Linked DNA regions of Anolis sagrei. The protein of the gene in region 2 purifies or fractionates together with the protein of the main gene of each other region. This does not show direct contact. Links are inferred from orthologs where the notes say so. Each region holds a gene or a part of one and is shown on either strand. Other genes may lie near its edges.

What was found. Proteins that work in one complex are often made in the same cells at the same time.
Region 1: the proteins of PTGFRN (region 2) and CD9 purify together in Homo sapiens (co-immunoprecipitation; 8 studies listed by BioGRID and IntAct, with this or other methods). This does not show direct contact. The link is inferred for Anolis sagrei from reciprocal best matches to the Homo sapiens genes PTGFRN and CD9.

The regions. Positions count from the first base shown.
Region 1 is NC_090025.1:103,253,121-103,261,204, forward strand, and holds the start of CD9 (CD9 antigen), read right to left. Parts: upstream 3,207-8,084; 5' UTR 3,084-3,206; coding exon 3,018-3,083; intron 1-3,017. UniProt on the Homo sapiens protein: Integral membrane protein associated with integrins, which regulates different processes, such as sperm-egg fusion, platelet activation and aggregation, and cell adhesion.
Region 2 is NC_090023.1:52,387,260-52,395,000, forward strand, and holds the start of PTGFRN (prostaglandin F2 receptor negative regulator), read left to right. Parts: upstream 1-4,520; 5' UTR 4,521-4,806; coding exon 4,807-4,861; intron 4,862-7,741. UniProt on the Homo sapiens protein: Inhibits the binding of prostaglandin F2-alpha (PGF2-alpha) to its specific FP receptor, by decreasing the receptor number rather than the affinity constant. Functional coupling with the prostaglandin F2-alpha receptor seems to occur.

The DNA.
Region 1 (8,084 bases), on a different chromosome or scaffold from region 2:
TCCAGAAGGTGGCATTGAATTGGACTATATGGCAGATAATAATAATAATCATCATCATCATCATCATCATCATCATCATCATCTATATAAATAACAATGTAATGTTTGTTTGTGGGACTAACATAACTCAAAAACCGCTGGACAAATTGCCGCCAAATTTGGACACAAGACACCTAATAACCCAAGGAGTGACCATCACTAAAAAAACTGATTTTGACATCTGGGAGTTATAGTTGCTGGGATTTATAGTTCACCTACAATCAAAGAGCATTCTGAACTCCACCAATGATGGAATTGAACCAAACGTGGCACACAGGACTCCCATGACCAACAGAAAATACTACAAGGGTTTGGTGGGCATTGACCTTGAGTTTGGGAGTTGTAGTTCACCTACATCCAGAGAGCACTGTGGAGTCAAACAGTGATGGATCTGGACCAAACTTGGCACAAATTCTCCATATGCCCAAATGTGAACACAGATGGAGTTAGGGGAAAATAGACCTTGACATTTGGGAGTTGTAGTTACTGGGATTTATAGTTCACCTACAATCAAAGAGTATTCTGAACTCCACCAACGATAGCATTGGGCCAAACCTGGCACACAGAACCCCCGTGAACAACAGAAAATACTGTGTTTTCTGATGGTCTTTGGTGACCCCTCTGATGCCCCCTCGCAACCCTTCCAGGGGTCCTGACCCCCAGGTTGAGAAACATTGCAATAGAAAGATGTGGCAGCTAAAAAAGCCAATATGCTTCTAGGATACATCAACAGGAATATAGTGTCTAGACCGAGGAAAGTCACAGTCCCACTCTATTTCACTGTAGACAGACCTCATCCCTATAACACCCCCCTTGTGACCCCCAAATTGAGATATACTGCCTTAAGACCATCCAGTCCAACACCCTTCACCAGGACAAGAAAACATAATCAAAGCCCTCTTGACAAAGAACCATCTAGCCATAGATATAGATAGGTATATTTGATTCACACACACATACACATATATATGTATATGACAGATATAATATCATAGATTTGAAAGGGATCCCTAAAGGACAATAATATGTTCCATGTTCCAGGGTGGGCAAACCAGACACTCTCCACATCAACACTGACAAAGAAACAGCAAGTAATACTGTTTACCCACAAGCAAAAAGAAATTACATATATTAGAAATCAACACTTTCTCATTACTTTATTTTTGAGATCACCAGATTGGGCCACAGCAACACGTGGCAGGAGATGGCTAGTAATATAACAAAACTTTATTTATACTCTGCTCTGTCTCCCCAGAGGGACTCAGGGCAGATTCCAAACATAAAAGGCAAACATTCAATGCCTAAATACAACAACAATACATCCATAATAACAAAATTTATACAACCCAACATATTAATGCGAATTGTAACTTAACAAACTAAAATTAAATAAAAAGCACAGCCTGTTATAACAAACATAAGACAAAGACAATCCAGTGCAAAATAGATATTGTGGATTATCTGACTTGATAGTCTGGATTATATGGCTGTGTGGAAAGGCCCTGGAAAAGCTGTTCAACAGTGGAACTCTCTGCCTCGGAGTATAGTGGAGGCTCCTTACTTGGAAGCTTTTAAACAGAGGCTGGATGAGTTACTGTGAGTTTTCTGGGCTGTACGGCCATGTTCTGGAAACATTCTTTCCTGACATTTCACCTACATCTATGGCAGGCATCCTCAGAGGTTGTGAGGTCTAAACTAGGCAAGTGGGGTTTATAGTAAAGGTAAAGGTTTCCCCCTGACATGAAGTCCAGTGGTCTCCAACTCTGGGGTGTGGTGCTCATCTCCATTTCTAAGCTGAAGAGCCAGCGTTGTCTGTAGACACCTCCAAGGTCATGTGGCTGGCATGACTGCATGGAATGCCGTTACCTTCCCGCCGGAGTGGTACCTATTGATCTACTCACATTTGCATGTTTCCGAACTGCTAGGTTGGCAGAAGCTAGGGCTGACAGTGGAAGCTCATGTGTGGTGCTCATCTCCATTCTAAGCTGAAGAGCCAGCGTTGTCCATAGACACCTCCAAGGTCATGTGGCCGGCATGACTGCATGGAACGCTGTTACCTTCCCGCTGGAGCAGTACCTATTGATCTACTCACATTTGCATGTTTTCGAACTGCTAGGTTGGCAGAAGCCGGGGCTGACAGCGGAAGCTCACGCCGCTCCCCAGATTCGAACCTGCGACCTTTCAGTCAACAAGCTCAGCGCTTTAACCCACTGCATCTTGGGGGCTCCATATCTGTGTTTATATATCTGTGGAATATCCAGAGTGGGAGAAAGAACGCTTGTCTGTTTGAGGCAGGTGTGAATGTTGTAACTGACTACTTTTAATGGCATTGCAGCTTCAAAGCCTGGCTGGTTGCTGCTTGGTGGAATCCTTTATTGGGAGGTGTTAGCTGGCTATGATTGATTCTTGTCTGGAATTCCCCTGCTTTTGGAGTGTTGCTCTTTATTTACTGTCCTGATTTTAGAGGTTTTTTTTTTTTTTAAAGAGGCTGGATGGCCATCTGTCAGGAGTACTTTGTGCTTATCCTGCATGGCAAGGAGTTGGATTAGATGGCCCATGGGGTCTCTACCAACTATTATTATTGGAGTATTACAGTATTTTGATGGGAACGCACTACTGTGGCTTCACCTTCCAAGGAGCCAGGCACCTGGGAGGTTGGGAAGGGAGAAGAAGGGGGGGGGGGGTCCGCGTGCCCACCATCCGGGGCTTTCTTGCTTTTTTTGCCTCAAAGAAGCCAACCAGGGCGGCTTCTACTCGGTGGAGAGCGCGCGCGCTAAAGTTCCTTCTGCATTTAGAGTTCCCTAGCAAATGCCTCTTCGGAAAGGAGGGGAAAAAAAGCCTCACTCGGAACGCTTCGGAAGGGTTCGGAGAAGGGGCTCGCGCTCGGTTTTCGACCGGGCGGGGGAGGGGAGGGGAGAGTTTCTTTGCCCAGGTGAGCGGCGGCTGAGGCGAGCCTGCTCTCAGTGCTGGGGACTCACCCAGAAGACGAAGTTGAAGCCGAAGAGCAGGTACTTGATGCACTTGGTGCCCCCCTTGACGGGCATGGCGGCGACTCGAAGGCAGCGGGAGCGGCGGTGCTTCTCTGCGTGGCGAGGCGGGAGGCGCGTCTGAGCAGCCCCGGCAGGGAAAGGCGCTCCCTAGGGCCACTCCTCAGACCGGCTCGTCGCGGGCTCCACCCCGGCCCCCAGGGCCGCTCCCTGGGCTCCTCCGCCCGCCCTCGCCGGCGTCACGCCAGGCCTGCGGGCCCCGCTCTCGCCCTTCCCTCATCTCTCCCTCTCTCTCTGTTCTCTCCCCACTCTTCCCTCTCTTCTTTCTTCCTCTCCTCCTCCTCACTCTTCCCCTCTCCCCCCTTCCTTCTCTTCTTTCTTCCCTCTACACCTCCCTCTCTTCTCTCCCCCTCTCTTCTTCTCTCTCTCCTTCTTTCTGCCTCTCCCCCCCTCTCTTCTCCCCCTCTATCTCTCTGGCCCTTTATTCTCCCTCCCTCTCTTCTCTCCCCTCCCTCTCTTCTCTCTCTCCCCTCCCTCTCTCTCACTTTTCCCATCCCTCCCTCCCCTCCCTCTCCCCCTATTTTCTCTTTCTCCCTGACCCCCTCCCTCCCTCTCTCTTCTGTCTTCCCCCTCTCTTCTCTCCCCCTCCCTCTCCCCTTCTATCTCCCTCTCTCTCTTTGCCCACTCCCCCTCTCCCCCCTCTCTCCCCTTCTTTAACTCCCTCCCTCTCTTTTCCCACTCCCCCCTCTCTCCCCCCTCCCTCTCCCTTCTTCCCCTCTCTCTCTGCCCCTTTTTCTCTCCCCCTTCCTTCTCTTCTTTCTTCCCTCTACCCCCCTCTCACCCCCTCCCTCTCCCCTTTTTTCTCCATGTCTCTCTCTTCTTCCCTCTCTCTCACCCCCTCCCTCCTCTCTGGGACCTCACTCTCCCCCTCTCTTCTTCTATCTCCCCTTCCTTCTCTTCTTTCTTCCCTCTACCCCTCCCTCTCCCCTTCTTTGTCCCTTTCTCCCTCCCTCTCCCCTCCTCCCTCTCCCCCTCCTTCGCTCCCTCCTCTCTCTCGCCCCTTACTCCCTCATCTCTCTGGCCCTTTACTCTCTCCCACTCTCTTCCCTCTCCCCTCCTTTTCTCTCCCCTCCCTCCCTCTCTCTCCCTTTTCCCATCCCTCCCACTTCCCTCTCCCCTCTCTATTCTCTCTTTCTCCCTGACCCTCTCACTCCACCTCTCTTCTGTCTCTCCCCCCTCCCTCTCTTCTCTCCCCCTGCTATCTCTCTCTCTCTCTTTCCTACTCCCCCCTCTCTCTCCCCCTCCCTCTCCCCTTCTTTATCTCCCTCCCTCTCTTTTCCCATTCCCCCCTCTCTCCCCCTCCCTCTCCCTTCTTCCCTCCTCTCTGGCCCCTCACCCCCCTCTCTTTTTCTCTCTCCCTCTCTCTCTTCTTCCACTCCCCCTCCCTCCCTCCTCTCTCACTCTCCCTCTCTCTTCTTCTCCCTCCCCTTCCTTCTCTTCTTTCTTCCCTCTACCCTTCCTTCTCTCACCCCTCCCTCTCCCTTCTTTCTCCATCTCCCCCTCTCTCTTCTTCCACTCCCCTCCTCTCTCTAGCACCTCACTCTCCCCCTCTCTTCTTCTCTCTCCCCTTCCTTCTCTTCTTTCTTCCCTCTACCCCTCCCTCTCTCACCCTTCCCTCTCCCCTTCTTCTTCCCTCTCCCCTCCTCACTCTCCCCTTCCTTCCTTCCCTCCCCCTCTCTCTCACCCCTCCCTCTCTTCCTCTCTCATCTCTCTCCCCCTCCTTTTCTCTCTCCTCCCTCCCTCCCTCTGTTCTCTCTCTCTGACCCCCTCCCCCTCACTCACTCTTCTGTCTCTCCCCTTCTCCCCCTCTCTTTTTTCCTCTCTTTCCCTCTTCTTCCCTCTCTCTCTTTCCCCTCCCCTCCCACTTACACTGGGACTGTTTGCTGGGCTCCAGAAAGACTGCTTTTCCCTTTGGTCCCAGAGAAGCTTTCACCTGCTTTGAAAGTGTTATTTCTTGTTAAATTGTGCGGTACTTACTTTGAAAGTAGTTGTTATACTCCAGAAACTTCATTTTCTGTGGCTGAGGGGAGTACTATTATTTCCACCAGTCTCTAGGCCCTGAGTTTGTAATTTTCCTTAATGAAAATAATGCCGGGTTGCTGTGAGTTTTTTAGGCAGCATGTTATGTTTACTTATATCTTACCTTTTCTCTTCATATGGAGACTCAAAGTGGCTCACAATTAAAAGTATTACGATACAACTTAAAATATACAATATACAAATATGAAAATAATATTAAGCATAATTCATATTAAAACCAATTGAAGTTAAAACCATAAAAGCATATAAATCCACAGCACCCCCTGCCTTAAACACCTTCATATTTAAAAGCCTGCCTGAATAAAAAGGTTTTAGTCTGCCGCTGGAAGGAACAGAAGAGAAGGGGCCATTTTGGCTTCCCTGGGCAGGGGTTCCAGAGTTGAAGGACAGCCACTGAGAAAAAAGGCCTGCTCTCTCGTTCCCACCGACTGTGCTTGAGATGGAGGTAGGACCAAGAGAAGGGCCTCTCCTGAAGATCTCAAGGACTGGGCAGGTTCACACAAGGAGATGTGGTCAGTCAAATACCTAAACTTGGACCATCTAGGGCAGGGGTCCTCAAACTTTTTAAACCGGGGGCCAGTTTACTGTCCCTCAGACCGATGGAGGGCCGGACTATAGTTTTTTAAAAAAAATCAATTAAAAAATTCCTATGCACATTGCACATATCTTATTTTGCTGTGTGGAAGGACCCTTAGAGGGGGTTCTTTCTAGCCCTCTTTAGACAGCAATTCCAGGAGAAGAGAATGGGAAATCTTCCTATTTCCAGTCTGAACAAAATCTAAAATTATAACTGTAAATAAATAACAATACTCAAACACAGGGGAACTCCAGACAAGAAACAATCAGGGCCAGCTAATCACCTCTCAACAAAGGATTCTCCCTAAAAACTGTCAGGCTATGAAATGGCAATCAAGGTGGCCAATTGAAACATTCATACCTACCTCCAACAGACAAGAGTTCTTTCTCCCACCCTGGATCTTCCAAGATTTTCCTGGTTAAAGGTTTTCCTCTGACATGAAGTCCAGTCGTGTCTGACTCTGGGGTGTGGTGCTCATCTGGATTTCTAAGTCGAAGAGCCAGCGTTGTCTGTAGACACCTCCAAGGTCATGTGGCCAGCATGACTGCATGGAGCACCAGGGCAGCCTCCCTTGGACAGCGTGAGCCTGCCAAGGGAGGAGCAGGCCCGCGCGGCTTACTTGCGAGTAAAGCACCTCGCGAGGTGCTTTACGCGCAAGTAGACCACGCGGAGCAGCCTCCCTTGGCTGGCTCACGCTGTCCATCGGGCCTGCCAAGGGAGGAGCAGGCCCGCGCGGCTTACTTGCGAGTAAGGGAGGCTGCTCTGCGTGGTCTACTTGCGTGTAAAGCGCCTCGCGAGGTGCTTTACGCGCAAGTAGACCACGCGGAGCAGCCTCCCTTGGCTGGCTCAGGCTCCCTTGCCTGGCTCAGGCCCGATGCACAGCGCGAGCCTGCCAAGGGAGGAGCAGGCCCGCGCGGCTTACTTGCGAGTAAAGCACCTCGCGAGGTGCTTTACACGCAAGTAGACCACGCGGAGCAGCCTCCCTTGGCTGGCTCAGGCTTTCCATCAGGCCCGATGGACAACGTGAGCCTGCCAAGGGAGGCTGCTCCGCGTGGTCTACTTGCGCGTAAAGCACCTCGCGAGGTGCTTTACGCGCGAGTAGACCATGCGGAGCAGCCTCCCTTGGCTGGCTCGCGCTGTCCATCGGGCCTAACAGATAGCGTGAGCCAGCCAAAGGAGGGGCACTGTGTGGGGGGGGGGGGCGCTCCTCCTCCGCGGGCCGGATCAGGGCCCTTGGCGGGCCGGAAGTGGCCCGCGGGCCGTAGTTTGGGGACCCCTGATCTAGGGCTTTAAAGGTCATAACCAACACTTTCAATTGTGCCCGGAAACAGACTGGCAGCCAGAGAAGCTGCTGCAACAGGGGGTTGTCCACTCCCTATAGCCAGCACCAGTTAGCAATCTGGCTGCAGCTCTTTGGACCAGCTGAAGTTTCTGAGCACTTTTCAGAGGCAGCCCCATGTAGAGTGCATTGCAGTAATCCAAACGAGATGCAACAAAGGTGTGTGCCACTGTGGCCAGACCTTGCTTCCCAAGGAACAGGCGCAGTTGATGCACAAGTTCTCATTGTGCAAAGGCCCTCCTGGCCACCTCCATCACCTGGGCCTCCAGGTTCAGTGCCAAGTCCAAGAGGACCCCCAAACTGCGAACACGTACCTTCAGGAGCAGTGTGACCCCATCTAGCACAGGCTGGATCCCTATTTCTTAATCTGCTTTCTGACTGACCAGGAGCACCTCTGTCTTATTTGGATTAAGTTTCAATTTGTTTGCCATCATCCAGTCCATTACTGCACCACATCAACAGCATCCACCCAAACATCTAATTTGCCATGGAAAAAGAAAATGAAGGAAAAAAATTCTAGATATCCTAGGTAAAGGTAAAGGTTTTCCCCTGACATGAAGTCCAGTCATGTCCAACTCTGGGGTGTGGTGCTCATCTCCATTTCTAAGCCGAAGAGCCGGCATTGTCCATAGACACCTTCAAGGTCATGTGGCCAGCATGACTGCATGGGGTGCCGTTATCTTACTGCCGGAGCGGTACCTATTGATCTACTCACATTTGCATGTTTTCCAACTGCTAGGTTCGCAGAAGCTGGGGCTGATAGTGGATTTGATGCTGCTTCCCGGATTCGAACCTGCGACCTTTCGGTCAACAAGCTCAGCAGCTCAGCGCTTTAACCCACTGTGCCACTGGGGGCTCCTACACAAATCAAATCAACAATTGTGCCACACAGTTTACAGAAAACCTATGCACACTGAGATACATACATAAAAACTCCAGCCATCACCCAGGTCTAAAAAGAAGCACAATTAAAGCCCTGACAGATTGTGTAAACAAAATCTGCAAACCCCACCTTCTCCAAGGTGAACTAAACACCTAAGCT
Region 2 (7,741 bases):
AAGCACCATTAAAGCCTTGGCAGACCGTGCAAAAAGAATCTGCAAATCCCACCTCCTCCAAGAGAAACTGAACCACCTAAACTGGGCTCTGCAGGCCAATGGATACTCCACCTCAGACATCAGAAAAGCTGCAAGACCGAGAACAAGCCACGAGAGTAAAGACGAAGATCCACTCAGAGGAAAAGTGTTCTTGCCATATATCAAGGGAACCACTGATTCCATAGGGAAGCTGATGAGGAAACACAACATGCAAACTATCTACAAGAGGGATCCTCTCACCTCTGCAGGAGTCTACCATATACCATGCAGCTGTGGACAAGTCTACATAGGGACCACCAAATGCAGTGTCACCCAAACATGAATCAAGGAACATGAAAGGCACTGCAGACTACTTCAACCAGAGAAGTCTGTCATAGCAGAGCACCTGCTGAACCAACCTGGACACAGCATATTATTTGAGAACACAGAAATGCTGGACCACTCTAACAACCACCATGTCAGGCTACACAGAGAAGCCATTGAAATCCACAAGCATGTGGACAATTTCAACAGAAAGGAAGAAACCATGAAAATGAACAAAATCTGGCTACCAGTACTAAAAAATCTCTAAAAAGTATCACAGTAAATAAAGAACAAAACTCAAACACAGAGGAACTCCATCCAGGAAACAATCAGGAACACCTGGTCACCTCTCAACAAAAGATTCTCCCAGGCAGTAACAAGCCACACCTAAAAACTTTTAGGCCATCAAATGTTAATCAGGATAGCCAATTGAAACATTCACACCTATCTCCAACAGACAAGAGTTCTTTCTCCCACCCTGGACTTTCCACAGATATATAAACCCAATTTTCCAGTTTCCATCAAACCTCACAACCTCTGAGGATGCTTGCCATAGATGCAGGAAAAACGTCAGGAGAGAATGCTTCTAGAATATGGCCATACAACCCAAAAAAACCTACAACAACCCAGCATAGCCTTCATTTAAAAGCACAACACTGGCAGAGTAAAAACGCACTACGGTTTAGCAGAGATATGGGATAGCTTGGTAATTTAAAAACAAAGTAGGCAGAGTTAAAGCTTACTTAATGATTGATCACAGCACTGCCTTTTAGCTTGCAAAGGAATACACATTCAGTATGCCAGAAAACAAAGACTCCACCATCAATTGCTTGATGTAACTTTAAGAGATTACCCACGAAACTTGTGCAAAAGGGATCACACAGGTACAGCATAATTTCATTGTAGATAATTAAAAAAGGTATAATCCACAGCTAGATAGTGCAAGGATAGATTTCGCCTCTGGTGGCATAGTGAATTAAAGCGCTGAGCTGCTGAACTTGCTTACCGAAAGGTCACAAGTTCGAATCTGGGGAGCGGCATGAGCTCCTGCTGTTAGCCCCAGCTTCTGCCAACCTAGCAGTTCGAAAATATGCAAATGTGAGTAGATCAATAGGTACCGCTCCGGCAGGAGGGTAACAGCACACCATGCAGTCATGCTGGCCACATGACCTTGGAGATGTCTATGGACAACGTCAGCTCTTCTGCTTAGAAATGGAGATGAACACCAACCCCCAGAATCGGACACGGCTAGACTTAATGTCAGGGGGAAATCTTTACCTTTACCCTAGATATCTCTAGCTTGTGCATAGGCTTAACAAAGGATCAGGCCACACACATGCAAGCTATAGCACTTGAAGGGACGATGGTCAGTCTTCTTCTGAGTGGACCCGAACATCTTTTTCAGACAAAGAAGCACCTCTCATTTTTTGACTTCAAAGAACTGCCTCAGTAAATAATAAATAAATAAATAAGTATTGTCGAAGGCTTTCATGGCCAGAATCACTGGGTTGTTGTAGGTTTTTTCGGGCTGTATGGCCATGGTCTAGAGGCATTCTCTCCTGACGTTTCGCCTGCACTTTGGCAAGCATCCTCAGAGGTAGTGAGGTCTGTTGGAACTGGGTAAAAGGGTTTATATATCTGTGGAATGACCAGGGTGAGACAAAGGACTCTTCTCTGCTGGAGCTAGATGTGAATGTTTCAACTGACCACCTTGATTAGCATACAATGGCCTGACTGCGCCTGGGGCAAACTTTTGTTGAGAGGTAATTAGATGTCCCTGCCTGCTTCCTCTCTGTTGTTGTGCTGTTGCAATTTTAGAGTTTTTTAATACTGGTAGCCAGATTTTGTTCATTTTCATGGTTTCCTCCTTTCTGTTGAAATTGTCCACATGCTTGTGGATTTCAATGGCTTCTCTGTGTAGTCTGACATGGTGGTTGTTGGTGTGGTCCCGCATTTCTGTGTTCTCAAATAATATGCTGTGTCCAGGCTGGTTCATCAGGTGCTCTGCTATGGCTGACTTCTCTGGTTGAAGTAGTCAGCAGTGCCTTTCATGTTCCTTGATTGGTGTTTGGGCAATGCTGCGTTTGGTGGTCCCTATGTAGACTTGTCCACAGCTGCAAATAAATAAGTGACATTCAGCGTGGCCACTTTCGAGAAAGTCCCCGAAGCCCACGCAATGCTAATTGGGGGTATCATAAAACTGACAGGGAAGGAAGTGAGGTAAGCCAGAAACATGGAGACAAGAGAACCATTTCAGTGTGCACGCAAGATTGTCAGTTTCCCAACAAATGGGGTTGGTGAGCCTCCTCAGCTTTTCCCAAAAACAACGCCAGATGCAGCGGCAGCGAGAAGAAAGGCGGTCCCAGTCTGGTCACGAGGAGCGGGAACTCCCTCCGCTGCCACTTGCTCTGGCAGCAGGCTCGTAGCCAGGATTTTGTTTTGGGGGGAGCTGAGTTTGATTGGGGGGGGGGGGCTAAGTCTGAGTGAAAGAGGGTCTACCTTATGTATCGTTGCCCCAATACCCCCCTTGCATATGAGATATATTGAGCATGGTGATCAGATCATGATATGAATAAACATAACAGTTTAAATAATGCACCAGTAAGGCCTTCTCGCGGACCACCCTGAGAATTTCGGGGGGGGGGGGGGCTTGGGGGGCTTCAGCTACATGCCTATCTGGCAGGGCTTCCTTCCCAGAGGTTGACAGTTGGAGGCTGGGCAGGCGGTGGGAGGGTTGGAGAGAGAAGCCTGACACGAGGGAAGAAGCTACAAACATCCCTTTTGGGGAGCGAAATGGGACTGGCTGCCCTGAAAGCAACTTGGGGCGCACCCACCAAGTCTGAATGCATTTCAAGTGTCACTGAAAGGAGATTCCACCTGAGCATCAGGAAGAACTTCCTGACTGTGGGAGCCGTTCAGCAGTGGAACTCTCTGCCCCGGAGTGTGGTGGAGGCTCCTTTGCCTCTGCTTTTAAGCAGAGGCTGGATGGCCATCTGTCTGGGGTGCTTTGAATGAGATTTTCCCGCTTCTTGAAAGGGGGTTGGACTAGATGGCCCACGAGGTCTCTTCCAGCTCTATGATTCTGGAGTTGTAGTTGGGTGAGGCAGAGAAAGCCCTTGTCAAACGACACCTCTCCTGATTCTATAGCACTGAGTCCCGGCACGGTGTGACAATGAAAGCGGTGCCAGGCTGTATGAATGTGTAAGACGCAGGCCCGTAGCCAGGATTTCGATTCGGGGGGGGGGGGGGGGCTGAGTCTGAGTGAAAGAGGGTCTGCCCTAGCAAACCTTTTGTATCGTTACCCCAATAGCCCCATGCAGGCATGTAGCGGGGGGGGGGGGGGGGGGCTCGGGGGGCTTCAGCCCCCCCCCCCGAAATTCTCATGGTGGTTCGCGAAAAGGCCTTCCTGGTGCATTATTTAAACTGTTATGTTTATTCATATCATGATCTGATCACCATACTCAATATATCCCATATGCATGGGGGTATTGGGGTAACGATACAAAAGGTTTGCTAGGCTAGACCCTCTTTCACTCAGACTCAGCCCCCCCCCCCCGAAACTCAGCTACCCCCCCCGAACCCCCCCCCCCTGATTTTTTTTAGCCCCCCCCCCCCCCCGAAACGAAATCCTGGCTACGGGCCTGACCCCATGAATATGGGATATATTGAGCATGGTGATCAGATCATGATATGAATAAACATAACAGTTTAAATAATACACCAGTAAGGCCTTTTCGCGGACCACCATGAGAATTTCGGGGGGGGGGGGGCTGAAGCCCCTCAAGCTCTTCCCCCCCGCTACATGCCTGGTAAGACTCCTTAGAAACCTCTGGCGCCCGAGGCATTCGAACAAGAGAGGGCGTCAAACTGGACTAATTTCGCCCTCCTTAGAAACCTCTGGCGCCTGAAGCGCTCAAACAAGGGAGGCGAGGCACGCGAGCGGGACTTGGCTGCCCAGCTTTCGACGCTTCCCGCGCTTTCCTTCCCCGCCCGATAGCTTTCCTCCCCGGTCCTTTCTGTGCGGAGGAGGGAGAGAGAGAGCGAGGAAGTCTCCCTTTCCCTCCCAGGCTCGAGTTGGGAGCCCCTCTGCCCTCCTTGCGAGTCTTCCCCTCCGTCCTGCCCTTTAAGGGGCCGCCCTCTCCTGGGCACCTATGGGAGGGGTCTGGGGGCGGGGCGAAGGGGAATTCGCCCTCTGTGGTTGGCTGGCTGCTGAAGAGGGGGGCGGTTCCCTTCCTCCCGGCGCTCAGGACCAGGCAGCGGCAGAAGCAGCAACAGCATCAGGCAGGCGGAGGGAGGCTTTGCTGGTCTTCCTGGCGCTGCTGCTGCTGCTGGCTTTGGCGTGGCGGCCCCGCCTTCGCTCGGAGCCAGGCAGCGCCGCTGCTGCCCCGCCGACCCTCGCTGGATCTTCCCCCCGCCGCTCAGTCTGGAGGAGGAGGAAGAGGAGGCAGCGACGGCGGCGGCGGGATGGGGCTCCGGGGGGAGAGCGCGCCCATTCTGCTGCTCTTCCTCTTACTCTTTGGTGAGTCTTTGCCTGGAGAGGTCTCTGGGTGGGTGGGCTTTCGGGCTTGGGCTCTGACCCCACTTGGAGGACCGAGGCGAAGGAAAAAGAAACACCACGAAGTTAGGAAGAGGTGCCTTTCCTTCTTTCCTTCCTTCCTTCCTTCTTTCCTTCCTTCCTTCCTCCTTTCTTTCCTTCCTTAAACCCTTTCCTCCTTTTTCTTTCTTTCCTTCCTTCCTTCCTTCTTGCCCTCTTTCCTTCCTTCCATTCTTTCTTTCTTTCCTCCCTCCTTTCTTTCTTTCCATCCTTCCTTCCTTCTTTCATTCTTTCCTTCCTTCCCTCCCTCCTCCCTTCCCTTCCCTTCTTCCTTCCTTCCTTCCTTCCTTCTTTCCTTCCTGCAAGCTATGTTCTTCTTGGAAGCCTGCTCCTCAGCCTTTCATTTTGAAAACATTGGTATTTATTTATATATCTTTCGTGTCAGAAGTGAGTTGAGGGTACAGTTGTAATGTATTTAGAAACACAAACAAAATTGAAAGCTAGGCATTATGCTAAATGCCCTTTGACCAGTAGCTGGCCACTTGGAGTGCCTCTGGGGTTGCTCTAAGGAGGTCCTCCATTGTGCATGTGGCAGGACTCAGACTGCATTGTAATAGGTGGTCTGTGGTTTGCTCTTCTACACACTTGAATGTTGTGCACTCCACTTTGTGGCCCCATTTCTTAAGGTTGGCTCTGCATCTCGTGGTGCCAGAGTGCAGTCTATTATTTATTTATTTATTTATTACTGCACTTATAGACTGCCGTTCTCAGCCCTAGGGCGACTCATGGCGGTGTACAACATATAAAACCAGGTACAATTTACAACATAAGCAATATCACATCAACAGTAAACAACAACACTATCAATAATACAGTTATACTAAATCATTCGCAACGTCTCATCATTGAATCACAATCCAAATCTCGTTATCCATGTTCCGTTCCAGTCGTCATTGCCAATTGTTGCCGCACTTACTCAAACGCCTTCTCAAACAACCACGTCTTTAGTCCCTTGTGGAATGTCATGAGGGAGGGCGCCAGTCTGATGTCCACAGCTCCTTTAGCTCCTTTCTGGTCTTCCACTCTTCTATGTATCCAGGAGGGAGTTTCTCATTCGGTCTCAGCCACTGATTGAGATGCTGGCTTTTATCCTGCCACTTTTGGACTCTTGCTTGCTGAGGTGTTCTTGCGAGTATATCTTTAGTTCTTAGGAAGCTGTTTCTTGATTTAAGACATTAATGTGCTGGTTGATATCTGAACAGAGGATGGGCCAGAGATGTCACTGCCTTGGTCCTTTCATTGCTGGCTGCTACTTCCCAGTGGATGTCAGGTGGTGCGATACCAGCTAAACAGTGTAATTTCTCTAGTGGTGTGGGGCGTAGACATCCTGTGATCATGCAGCATGTCTCATTAAGAGCCACACCCACTGTTTTAAAGGGATGAGATTATTTCACGCTGCGCATGTGTATTCAACAGCAAAGTAGCAAAGTGCAAGGGCAGATGTCTTAACTATATCTAGTTGTGGTCCTCAGGTTGTGCCAGTCAGCTTTCATATGATATTATTTCTAGCACCCACTTTTTTGTTTGATATTCAAGTTGTGCTTCTTAAACCACAGTCCAGAGTGACTCACCATGGGTGACAACCCCACTTCCTGAGGTCTGTTTCCCCAATCCATTCCCAGCTTAAGTGTTTTGAAGTACTGTAGGAGTTACTTGGGGCTCCAGAAAGGCAGAGCGTACTCTTCTCATGCTTGCATAGCACTGGCCAAGGCTGCATCTATATCAGGCATGGGCTGTTAGCCTGGCTGTTAGGAATTGTGGAAGTTGAAGTCCAGAATACCTGGAGGGCCAAAGTTGGCCCATGCCTGATCTCCATTGTTGAATGAGTGCACTTTGACATCACTTGGACTAAAGGCCATGACTGAATGCTATGTAGTCTGGTGAGGTACCAGCACTCTTTCCCAGCGAAGGCTTAAAATCTTGTGAAAGTCCCATGATTCCATAGCATTCAGTATTCAAAGTGGTGTCAAACTGCATTCATTCTACAGTGTAAATGCACCCTTAGCCTCAGATGGAGTTCCTGGGAGAAATAACACACACACACAGACACCCACCCACACACACACACACACACATGGGGACTGAGGATACTCTAATTTAAGTTCTTCCCTTTGTGCCTTTTATTTTGCATGCTGTTTCCAAAACTGAAGAATGCTGAAGAATTCAGGGTCTGAGTTGTTTTGATTTCAGACTGCATTAAATTTATAGTGCAAATATATCCTATGTCAAGGGTTAGGGGAGATCCCCACACATATTGCATGTGTTTCTAAATAGCAGATGTTGTCCTGTACTATGACAAAACTTGAGACCTGTTAACCTCATGTTGAGGGTGGCATTGCTATTCCGAAAGTTATGCAGGCAGGTTCGGGTCTCTGAAAAAGGCAAGCCTAGAAGAGAAGGGACCTCCGTTGTAGTCCAGTTTAACTCCTTGCCATTGAAGAGGTAGTGAAGCTGTGTGGATTTTTTTTCAGCCTTGGAGCCACACAAGGTCTGTTTTTCCAGCTCACTTGGCAGCCCTGGATCAGGAATCCTTAGCCTGACTTCTTGTAGGAATGTTGCCTTCTCTCGCCCTCTCCCAGGTTGAGGTGTGAAGCTATTTAATGATTGCGAACTTTGCAGCCGAAAGTGTGAGTGCTTTAATGCTTTGGAAAAGCGTCTGCTTTCATTGTTCATGCTCAGTGCTTTGACTAAAGCCTCCCCCGGTTTCTGCCAGTGCGTTTTATTTTATCCTTTGCTTTGGGAAGTTGCTCTGTCAGTGTCTCCAGCAGTTGTTTTCACTTCATCGTTCTTTCTGTGATATCTACA